Linked DNA regions of Arabidopsis thaliana. The protein of the gene in region 2 purifies or fractionates together with the protein of the main gene of each other region. This does not show direct contact. Each region holds a gene or a part of one and is shown on either strand. Other genes may lie near its edges. The genes, in order: AT5G66530 and AT1G67280.

Region 1 (6,861 bases), on a different chromosome or scaffold from region 2:
TTGGACCCAAAACATTGGACAATGCAGGGAGAGGTAGCCAGACATGTTTTCCCTCACAATTAAACTGTAAAAGAGGCATCTTGCTTTCTGTAGCTAAATTTATGTCTGATTTTACTTGTTGTAAGATAACTGCGGCAAAGAGGCCAATGAATAGTGCTCTAGAAGTTGATTTAGATTTTGAGCACAATGCCAGGCCTGCTCCTGTAATCACAGAAGAAGTCACAGCCTCACTTGAAGATTTGATCAAGAGCAGAATCATTGAGGTAACTACTTGTGGCAGTAATTTGTAACAAAGGTCTCCCTTGTTTCTTCCTGGTTTTGCATGACTGATCTTTTTACTCTTTAGGCTCGTTTCGATGATGTTCAACGAGCACCTCGTCTACCCACTAAAGGAAAAAGAGAAGCCAAGGAATTGGTGAGTTTTATTGAAGAACTATTACTTCTATCCTCTTTTCTTGCTCTGGTGTAATAGTTACAATTGATTTGTTACTTTTGGGTATATGCAGGACGAAAGCAAAAGCAAGAAAGGTCTTGCCGAAGTTTACGAGGTTTGTATCATGTACAATATTTGATTGTGTTATTGCATTTTTTGTGAGATAACCAAACTTACATATGTGTTTTGGTCCATTTGGTTATTTGTAGGCAGAATACTTTCAGAAGGCTAATCCAGCTTTTGCCCCAACAACTCACTCTGATGAACTAAAGAAAGAGGTTCCAACTTGATTTGATACTTATTTTTCCTGGGTTTTTGTGTTTGCATATTTATCTTCTCCTTTCATTGTTAGTGTATATATCACATTCTCTTACTTATAAACGTTAAATCAGGCAAGCATGTTGTTCAAGAAACTATGCCTGAAGTTGGATGCTCTCTCCCACTTCCACTTCACACCTAAACCAGTATGTTTCTTGCTTAGATCCTAAATGATGATCACCTCAAGTGTCTAGACATAGCTGTTCTGGACTGAAACTTTTTATTTTCTCCAAACTTTCAGGTGATTGAAGAAATGTCTATACCAAACGTTTCAGCCATAGCAATGGAAGAGGTAATTCTAAGCCCTTTCCTTTTTTTTGTTTGTTTGTTTGGTAATTGGGATTGGAGACCATTATACTTATCAACTTGTTCCATGTGTACTGTGTAGGTTGCGCCCGTGGCCGTCTCAGATGCAGCAATGCTTGCCCCAGAGGAAATATTTTCCGGGAAAGGTGACATTAAGGATGAGTCTGAGCTCACACAGGAAGATAGAAAGAGGAGGAGAGCGAATAAGAAGAGAAAGTTTAAGGGTAAGGAAGTGAATAACAAAAAGAATATATACTCAATTGGTAAAAAATACAAAATCTGAGTGCATCATGTTGCATTTTAGACGCATAATAACCTCTTTGCTTTTCACTTGTGAAACAGCTGAATCTGCAAATGAACCGCCTAAAAAGGCGCTGGATACAAGTACCAAGAACCCTTAAACTGGTATTTTCTGTGCTCTTACATGACTGACTATAGATTCAAAAAGCATCAAAAAATTAAACGTTGCTTACTTTTGTGAAGTTACATGTTGAAGAAAGGAGAGAGTTACAGAGGCAAATTCAAGATGATAAGATCTCGGTCAAGAGCATTGCTACACAGACAGCTTGAAGATTAGATAAAACAACAGTTTTGAATGAGAGAAATATTTAAACTTTGTCTTTCACAAATTTGAATTTTATTGTATTTTTTTCTCTTTGTATGAGTAGTTCCATTTTCCTTGTATCGATAGAAAAATTCCAAAGAAATCTTAAAAGAACAAAAATGTGCAAAATTCTTAACACCAACATGAATCCTAATGGTAAGATTGAATTTGATATGTTAGCTACAACTAATGAGGCACACCCGTAAGATAATGAAAGAGCAGCAGCAGCATACATTACCTTTCCGAGTCCAGCATGATTCCTCCTTTTAAGTGTAACCACTCTATAGTCTTTCGATTGGGCTAAAAGCCTCAAAGAAGTGAAATAGTAAAAAGGTAATAGATAGAACAAATAAGCTGGAGTAGCTCAGTTGGTTAGAGCGTGTGGCTGTTAACCACAAGGTCAGAGGTTCGACCCCTCTCTCTAGCGTTATGCACTAATTTTTAATAAGCCCATTAGTAATATTGGACCTGGTGGAATGTATTGAACAGCCCATACCCTTCTTTGTAGATATTATTGATAAGTTAGTCGGACTTAAGAAGGATATTCGTAATCCATAAACGATATTATTCTCAAGTTAGTGGTCAACGTTAAACTTTGGGTCCCGACCGCCATTTGAAGAGCCGGTTTCTCCATCGTCGTCACTCGTCATTCGTTTGTTTGTCTCTTCCGGATAGATATATAAATAAAAATGTCCGATATTTTTTTAAAAAATTACATTAGTTTTGCTGCGTTTAGTATTCAATTTCATCGACCCAAATCAAAATCTCTATTCAATCCTTTTCCTTCTTCTTGTTGCCCTAGTACGAGAGGACCGGGAAGGACGCAATATATAGGATACTAGATAGAGAGTGACTGAAGGAGAGAAAAACAAAAATGGCGATTGTTTCCGTCTCTAACTCTTTTCTCACTTTCAATTCTCCCAATCAGCTCCGATTTAGCCGGTAATATTCTTACTGCATTTTGTTTTTTTTCTTTTGGTTTCGCTTCTAATGTCTCTACCTTGCATTTGATCCACACAAAAAAAAACTCGATCTTGGATATTGCAGAAGAAGATTCTCTGCCATGGCTTCTTCAACTACTGGAGTGAGAGTCGCTGAAGGAGAAGGCAATTTGCCAAAACTTGTCCTTACTTCTCCTCAGAACAGGTATCAAAAACTATTGACCATCTCATACTAAGTAAGTCAGGTTCAGCTTTATGTCATCTGGGTTGATTTATAATTGGATGCAGCGAGGCTGAGATATATCTCTTCGGAGGCTGCATTACTTCTTGGAAAGTTGCGAGCGGTAAAGATCTTCTTTTTGTCAGACCAGATGCTGTCTTCAATAAGATTAAGCCCATTAGGTATGTGTGTGTGAACTTCAACAATTGTTGTTAAACCAGATAAAATTGTGAGTAATGTCTTTTCTTTTTTTCGTCATACTGTTTGTTATTGGATTAGCGGAGGGATTCCACATTGTTTTCCACAGTTTGGACCTGGGCTAATTCAACAGGTACTCTCATTTACTGTTTCCTCGCTTGATCAAATCTCTTTTTAGTTGTTTATGCTTATTTGGTGGTCTTGAACCATTTTGGAATCATTAGCATGGGTTTGGAAGGAACATGGACTGGTCTGTTGTCGATTCCCAGAATGCAGATGACAATGCTGCTGTTACTCTTGAGCTTAAGGATGGTCCCTATAGTCGAGCCATGTGGGACTTTGCTTTCCAGGCTCTATACAAGGTGTGTGTCATGCCTTTCACTAATGGCATTCTTGTATGTTATAGTATTTCATAACAGTTTGTGTTGATACTTTAGGTCATTGTTGGCGCGGACTCCCTTTCCACTGAGCTAAAGATTACAAACACAGACGATAAACCATTTTCTTTCAGCACTGCGTTGCATACTTACTTCCGTGTAGGTCCACTAAATCATTTTCCTATGATTTGATACTATGGCTTGCAAATTGAGTCCATGTTATCAACTTTTTCTTCTAATATTTTTTTTTTTGGGTTCATCAGGCTTCTTCTGCGGGGGCCTCCGTGAGAGGTCTAAAGGGTTGTAAAACTCTCAATAAGGATCCAGACCCTAAGAACCCAATAGAGGGTAAAGAAGACAGGTTGGTTTGGTATTTGTTTTTCTTCATTAACTACAGATCTTATTTATTTTATTTCACTTGTTTCATGGTTGTAACTCCTTAATTTCTAACATTTCAGGGATGCAGTCACTTTTCCTGGATTTGTGGATACCGTCTATCTTGATGCTCCCAATGAATTGCAGTTTGATAATGGCTTGGGTGATAAAATAATCATCAAAAACACAAAGTACATTTACTGAGACACTTATATGGCTTTCTACAGGGTCTATGTTTCGTTCTGTGCCTCATGAGTACTACTTGTTTTTGAAAAATGCAGTTGGTCGGATGCGGTCTTGTGGAACCCGCATACTCAGATGGAGGCTTGTTACAGAGACTTTGTGTGCGTGGAAAATGCAAAGGTATATCAGTTTACACTTAAGTCTTTCCTCTTTACAAAACTTATAGACTCAAAAGTTTATAACTCTTCCTTGTCATTTTTAATTCTCAGCTTGGGGATGTCAAGCTAGAGCCGGGACAGTCTTGGACTGCAACACAACTTCTCAGCATCAGTTGAAAACATTGTACTTTAAACTTATAATGTCCAGTGGATCCATTTTCTTAAGCAATAAAAGTTTTATTTCCTCTCCCAAATTTTACCAGTAGTCCCCACAACTGCATTTCCCATCTCTGAAATGATGGAACCTTGTCCTATCTCTCATTACAATATCCCTCTTGTATATCTTAGAGATGAGCTTCGTTACTTTGTGACAATCTTTGCATACTCGGAGATTCTTCATTATACGAATAATGGTTCCTGGTTTAGTCTTGATTAACCCGTATGTAATAGCCAATTTCTCGCTATGCTGATGCACAATAGCCTCTCTTTCATCATCATCAACTAGATCAAGCAGCATCTCTTCTAACTCTGGTACGTACCCGTTTTCCTCAAGTTTCCTTCTCATGATTCTCCATTTAGATTGAATTTTCTCTATCTCTGGGTGTGATCGGTCTCCCGCTAAAAACTCGTGTGTGGTCCCTTCCAAGCTAATTGTACTACATCCTGGAACTTTTGCTACTCCTTGTTCTTTCATCAATCTTCTTGTTTCAGCTGCTTTGTCCCACTTTTTATCCATAGCATGAATATTTGCCTTATGAACATATCTTCCGCCATGATATGGATCTATTGCAATTAAGATTTCTCCAATTTCCTCTCCCAATTCGATGTTTTTGTGAATTCGACAGGCTTTGAGCAACGCACCCCATATCACAGCATTTGGCTTCAATGGCATCTCCTGAATGAAACGTTTTGCTTCATCAAGCAATCCAGCTCGACCGAGTAAATCAACAATACAGCCATAATGCTCGATGGTCGGTTTCAGGTTGTAATCTCTCTCCATGCTGTAGAATATCAACTTTCCTTCTTCAACTAGTCCTGTGTAGCTGCAAGCCGTGAGAACCGCAGTGAAAGTGATCACATTTGGCTTAATTCCCATCTTTTGCATCTCCATGAATTTGCTAATAGCTTCTCTTCCATGGCCATGGTATGCATATCCTGAAATCAAAGCTGTCCATGCTTGCACTGATTTTTTCTTAATATTCTTGAAAACTTCCAAAGCTTCTTCCATTTCACCGCACTTTGCATACATATCTATAAGAACACAACCCAAAACAGAGTCCATTCTGATTCTTGTCTTATTAAGATAGGAATGGATCCATTTCCCTTGCTCGAGTGCTCCGAGCTGAGCACAAGCTGAGAGAGCATTAGCTAGGGAAACATTATCAGGCTCAACATCTGAATTCTGCATTTCATGAAACAATTGCAGAGCTTCCTTGTTCATGTCTGCTTGAACATACCCAGAGATCATCGTAGTCCATGATATAGCATTCTTTTCTGCCATTTTCCTGAATAACGTTAATGCAATATCCATTTTTCCAGCTTTTACATAACCTTTGATCACAGAGTTCCACGAGACATCATCAGGTTCGGGGATTCTGTCAAAGAGAAGGTGAGCTAGCTTGAAATTCCCGGTCACAGCATATGAATTAATCAGAGAATTCACTGCATAGACATCATTTTCATATCCAAGTTTCGTGATCTGTGCGTGAATTTGCGTTGTTTCTTCAAATGCAGATAGGTTCGAACAAGCTTTGAGAAGAGACGGAAAAGTATACGCGTTATGAGGAGCTGAAGAACAGAGCATACGTTGATACAGGAGAAGAGACCTCTCGGGTTCGTCTGAGCACGAGAACCCTCTGATCATTAGGTTCCACAAGAAAGTATCTGGTCGATCAAACCCGTCAAACACAATCTGGGCATAAGGCAAAAAGTCGGAAGACGTTGAAGAAATGCAGAAAGAAAGAAACTTTGTGATTGCATAAGAATCCTGCATCAAGCCAGTTTTCAGCATGCGAGCGTGGATTTGCTTCAGTTCTTCTTGCTTTGAGCATCTCTGGAGACAAGACATTGTCTCGTAGAGATTATGTTCCAATGAGAAGGAGCATGAGATCACATTCATTGTAGTTCATTCGATAAAACAGAGAGACCTCTTGAGAGATAAGGTTCTTCTTTGGTTGATGTTGATGATAACTATATTCTCAATTCTCAGTGGACGCCAAAGTGTGTGCCGTTTGTTCGAGACTTAAAAGGATAAAGTGACGTGGCGAAGAATTACCATAATCACCATAAATTTACCTCCTAATTTTACCAACAGCAACCTGAAATAACATGAACCGGATAATAACGGTCCGACCGAAAATTGAGCACAAAACCAACAAATGGGGATGAGTCGTCAAAGACTGCACTCTCTCCTCTTCCTCTGGCTCCGGCGAAAAACCCCTTTTCGATTTCATTGATAAAACGCAAATCGATCTCTCGTGTGGAAGAAGAAGAAGAACACGATGGGAACAATGGGTAAAGCATTCTACAGCGTAGGATTCTGGATCCGTGAAACTGGTCAAGCACTTGATCGGCTCGGTTGTCGCCTCCAAGGGAAAAATCATTTCCGAGAACAGCGTATGTCTTTTGGATCGCCTTGTCTTCTCTTAGTTCCATTCGAATCCTGGTGATGATTTTTTTTTGTTTCATTACTCGTCGGGTCTTCGAAATGTTTGTGTATTTCTCTGGAATCAGGTCATAGTTTTGATT
Region 2 (4,782 bases):
TCGCTGCAAGGAGATGGTACTCAACACAAGCCACTCTTCCTGATGGAACTTTCATCGTTGTTGGAGGCCGTGACGCTCTCAACTACGAGTATATCCTTCCGGAAGGACAAAACAACAAGAAACTCTATGACTCACAACTTCTTAGACAAACAGATGATCCAGAAGAAAACAATCTTTACCCTTTTGTTTGGCTTAACACTGATGGTAACCTCTTCATTTTCGCCAACAACCGATCCATTCTTCTTAGCCCGAAAACAAACAAAGTGCTCAAAGAGTTCCCTCAACTTCCCGGTGGTGCCCGTAACTACCCTGGTTCCGCCTCCTCGGCTCTTCTCCCCATCCGCCTCTACGTCCAAAACCCCGCTATCATCCCCGCTGATGTCCTAGTTTGCGGTGGTGCAAAACAAGACGCTTACTTCCGTGCAGAGAGGTTAAAGATTTACGATTGGGCCTTGAAAGATTGTGCAAGGTTAAACATCAATAGTGCTAAGCCTGTATGGAAAACAGAGACCATGCCAACGTCACGTGTGATGAGTGATACTGTGATCCTTCCTAATGGAGAAATTCTTATCATTAATGGTGCAAAACGTGGCTCCTCTGGTTGGCACTTAGCCAAAGAACCAAATTTTGCTCCACTCTTGTACAAACCTAACAAACCTTTAGGCCAACGTTTCAAAGAACTCGCTCCTTCCACTATCCCTCGTGTGTACCATTCCATCGCAATCGCTCTTCCTGATGGTAAAGTTCTCGTCGGTGGAAGCAACACCAACAACGGATACCAATTCAACGTTGAGTACCCAACCGAACTCCGCATCGAGAAATTCTCACCACCTTACCTTGATCCAGCTCTAGCCAATATGAGACCAAGAATCGTAAACACCGCAACACCAAAACAGATTAAGTATGGACAAATGTTTGACGTAAAGATCGAGCTTAAACAACAAAACGTAGCAAAGGAGAATGTAATGGTGACAATGTTGGCACCATCATTTACTACACATAGTGTATCAATGAACATGAGGTTGCTTATGTTGGGTATTAACAATGTGAAGAATGTTGGTGGCGATAATCATCAAATCCAAGCCGTTGCTCCTCCTAGTGGAAAACTTGCTCCTCCTGGTTATTATCTTCTCTTTGCCGTCTACAATGGTGTCCCTAGCGTTGGAGAATGGATTCAGATTGTCTAATTTTGATATGCATATATTATCAATTTATTTTTTGAAACGAAACCTATATAACATGTTTGTAAGGTTAATTTTTTTTCTTTATACTTACATGTATATATTCTTTGATTCTTGTAATTATTATATTTTTTGAATAAATGTTTTTTTGATAGATATAACAAATTGGAGAAAATTGTCATAATGAAATCACTATATAGAATGGTTATTTATTATTTTATATTTTTTCAACAGTCTTGTAGTCCTTTATTAATAAATAGTGTTACTTATGACATTTATTTTCCAACATCGATTCCATTTTTTATTTTTTGTAAGTAAGAAAAAATTCATTTCATTTTAACATTACAATACAAAATCTAAATATATAAGTTCCAATAAGGCAGTAATTAACTAATTAATCATTTAACTAATAATAATTATGTCTAAATATCACGAATCGTTCAATTTTTTGTTTTTGTTTTTTTGTTTTGTTTTTTTAATGAATCTCCAAAATAAAAAAGAATAAAAAAGCTTTATCTCTAGTCTCTACCGTTGTCGTCACTTAATCTCCGACGGAGGAAAAGTAGCCACCGCTTGACGAATCATTCATCAACACACGCAGAGAGCTCTGAATCTCGAGGAAGAAGATGGTGAGGATCATTCCTATGGCTGCTTCCTCCATTCGACCTTCCCTCGCCTGCTTCTCTGATTCTCCTCGCTTCCCCATCTCCCTCCTCTCCAGAAATCTCTCTCGCACTCTCCGTAATCATCCTCCTCCTTTCACATATATCGTTGACTACACAATATAGATACAATCATTCTCCAATTGATTAGTGAATTCTAGAACTAGGGTTGTTTTAAAGTTCCCAAATTTCTGGTTTATGATTCTTGTTCAATTTGTGTTGTTGCAGATGTTCCTCAATCACAGCTTTTTGGTTTAACTTCTCATAAGCTTTTGAGAAGAAGTGTAAACTGTTTAGGAGTTGCTGAATCTGGTAAAGCAGCTCAAGCTACTACACAAGATGATCTTCTCACCTGGGTTAAGAATGATAAGAGAAGAATGCTTCATGTTGTTTATCGTGTTGGCGATATGGACCGGACGATAAAGTACTTCACTTTGGCTTTCCTGTGATATGGCTTTGATGTTGAGTCTCTTAAAGTCACATTAAGTTTAAAAGAATCATCTGATTGCTGTAGGTTTTATACTGAATGTCTTGGGATGAAGCTTCTACGTAAGCGTGATATACCAGAAGAGAAGTATACTAATGCTTTCCTTGGTTATGGACCGGAAGATTCACACTTTGTGATTGAGCTTACTTATAGTAAGTTATATCTGTATCCCCCTTTTATGCTACTGCCAAGACTCTGAGTATTGTAGTTCATTTAGCTCTAGGGAGCTCAAGACTATGCATTTTATATTTATATGGTTGGCTTAGCTTTCTTAGTGTAATTTTTTTTACAGATTATGGAGTTGACAAGTATGACATTGGGGCTGGTTTTGGTCACTTTGGTATTGCGGTCGATGATGTGAGCTTCTACAATCTATATGCAATTATGTTCTTTCTTTGAAACAGTGTTTGATGTGTATGGATTTTACTCTTTCCACTTAATGGTTTTATATCTAAGAAGTGAAAATTTCTTTCCAAAAGGTGGCGAAAACTGTAGAGCTTGTGAAAGCCAAAGGGGGAAAAGTAAGCCGGGAGCCTGGTCCTGTCAAAGGTGGCAAAACTGTAATAGCATTCATTGAAGATCCTGATGGTTACAAATTTGAACTCTTGGAAAGAGGTCCTACACCAGAACCTCTTTGCCAAGTTATGCTCCGTGTTGGTGATCTCGATAGGGCCATAAAGTTCTATGAGAAGGTGATTCCTATGAAATTGTTTTGAGATGTGGTAGTTTGCAGCCTGACAGTAAATGTTTGATCTGATATAGTTTCTATCTCTTTTATCAGAATGCATTCTTATCCTCTGATCATGTGTGCTTCCTTTCTTTATAGGCTTTTGGAATGGAACTTCTGCGAACAAGAGACAACCCAGAGTACAAGGTAATTTGCAATGCCTCACAAATCTAATTCTTACTTATGCGGCCTTAACCTTCCATTGTATATATCGGTTATATGTTTTTGTATAAACTCACTTACCGTAAGTGGTTATTTGCAGTACACAATAGCCATGATGGGATATGGTCCAGAAGATAAATTTCCTGTCCTAGAGCTGACATATAACTATGGTGTCACTGAATATGATAAAGGAAATGCTTATGCTCAGGTAAAAGAAAATTGACATTCCGTTCGTCTATATTACTTTTCAACTGGAGGGTTGCGATAGTTTTAACTTGTTTGCTTGTATTTGATTACTATCAGATAGCAATAGGGACGGATGATGTGTACAAAACTGCAGAAGCTATAAAACTCTTTGGGGGAAAAATCACGAGGGAGCCTGGTCCCTTACCAGGTATTAGCACGAAGATCACCGCGTGTCTGGATCCTGATGGTTGGAAATCGGTAAGATATTGGTGTGTAGAGATAGATTCATATTGATGCAAAGAGCTCTGAATGTCTCGTTTTGAGTTTCGACTTTTGGCTTTACAGGTATTTGTGGACAACATTGACTTTCTCAAAGAACTGGAGTGAGAGGAGAAAGCAGAAGAGAGGCAACAAATGCACGAAAATGGCTTATGAGGGAGACAGGAGGAGAGGCCTTGTTGTGAATTACATCAGTTTGGGGTTTGATATAATCTCTCTCAGTGCTGAATATTTTTATCAAAGTGAATGATTTGTTTTTCAGAATATAGTGTAGTTGTTTAATTTACAGTATAAAAGCCTATGTTGCGTCTTTGTATATTAGTTCCACTTAACATTAATTGCCAATAAATAAGATGATAAGTGAATGATATTCAAGAAAAAATCTTATGCCTAGTCCAAGTTATGAGGATCCTTACACTAGAAAACATCGAAGCTTGACATCAATTCTTGAATGTCATTTCTTTTTCTTCTTAATTTTGTTTAATTCGGGATTTTATTTACAAAAAAATATGTATGTGTAGATTAAACGGGCTAGATTTTAGTGATACAAAAAATTTGTGAATTAGATAATCTTTTGCTGAACAAAAAATTACCTTAGACGAAGCAAAGATTGAAACATGTCAAACGACATCGTATAATATACTAAAGGATTAGCGTTAGATAAACTTGTATACGATTTTATAAAACTAGAAGTTAACCTAAACAACATAAAATTAAAATATGCCAAACGACATCGACTATACTAATCTATTCGACATCGTTTGACATGTTTCAATTTTTATGTCGTCTAGGTTAACATTCTTGTTCTATAAAAAGATCATATTCACAGCTTTATGTATTTATATCCGCCGTATTGTTTTTATAACAATATAGCGAAAACACATATCATAAAGAAAGTTTAGATTTTTTTTATCGCATCAATGAAGAAACCTAACATTCAGTTGAATTATTTTGCAAAAGGTATGTGCTAATAACAGTTTTTAAGATATTTTATATTCAGTCGATTTTATTTATGATTTTTTAAATATTTGCATATGTTTTTGGTTGTCTTATTATTGAATACTGTTAATCCTTTTATATTATTATTAGTTTGATTGC

Evidence for each region.
Region 1: the proteins of AT1G67280 (region 2) and AT5G66530 fractionate together in Arabidopsis thaliana (co-fractionation; one large-scale study listed by BioGRID). This does not show direct contact.

The regions. Positions count from the first base shown.
Region 1 is NC_003076.8:26,551,250-26,558,110, reverse strand, and holds AT5G66530 (Galactose mutarotase-like superfamily protein), read left to right. Parts: upstream 1-2,224; 5' UTR 2,225-2,535; coding exon 2,536-2,603; intron 2,604-2,663; exon of another isoform or gene 2,664-2,708; coding exon 2,709-2,807; intron 2,808-2,890; coding exon 2,891-3,004; intron 3,005-3,101; coding exon 3,102-3,153; intron 3,154-3,244; coding exon 3,245-3,382; intron 3,383-3,457; coding exon 3,458-3,556; intron 3,557-3,660; coding exon 3,661-3,758; intron 3,759-3,855; coding exon 3,856-3,963; intron 3,964-4,053; coding exon 4,054-4,135; intron 4,136-4,224; coding exon 4,225-4,290; 3' UTR 4,291-4,369; coding exon of another isoform or gene 4,370-6,232; 3' UTR 6,233-6,321; downstream 6,322-6,861. Other genes in the region: AT5G66540 (U3 small nucleolar ribonucleoprotein), read left to right, coding at 1-33, 126-263, 347-415, 507-548, 643-711, 826-897, 993-1,043, 1,140-1,281 and 1 more; AT5G66520 (Tetratricopeptide repeat (TPR)-like superfamily protein), read right to left, coding at 4,370-6,232; GAMMA CA3 (gamma carbonic anhydrase 3), read left to right, coding at 6,615-6,729.
Region 2 is NC_003070.9:25,187,573-25,192,354, reverse strand, and holds AT1G67280 (Glyoxalase/Bleomycin resistance protein/Dioxygenase superfamily protein), read left to right. Parts: upstream 1-1,660; 5' UTR 1,661-1,807; coding exon 1,808-1,922; intron 1,923-2,071; coding exon 2,072-2,267; intron 2,268-2,357; coding exon 2,358-2,482; intron 2,483-2,622; coding exon 2,623-2,687; intron 2,688-2,809; coding exon 2,810-3,022; intron 3,023-3,156; coding exon 3,157-3,204; intron 3,205-3,319; coding exon 3,320-3,427; intron 3,428-3,522; coding exon 3,523-3,663; intron 3,664-3,750; coding exon 3,751-3,792; 3' UTR 3,793-4,117; downstream 4,118-4,782. Other genes in the region: GLOX1 (glyoxal oxidase-related protein), read left to right, coding at 1-1,187. UniProt on the Arabidopsis thaliana protein: Catalyzes the conversion of hemimercaptal, formed from methylglyoxal and glutathione, to S-lactoylglutathione.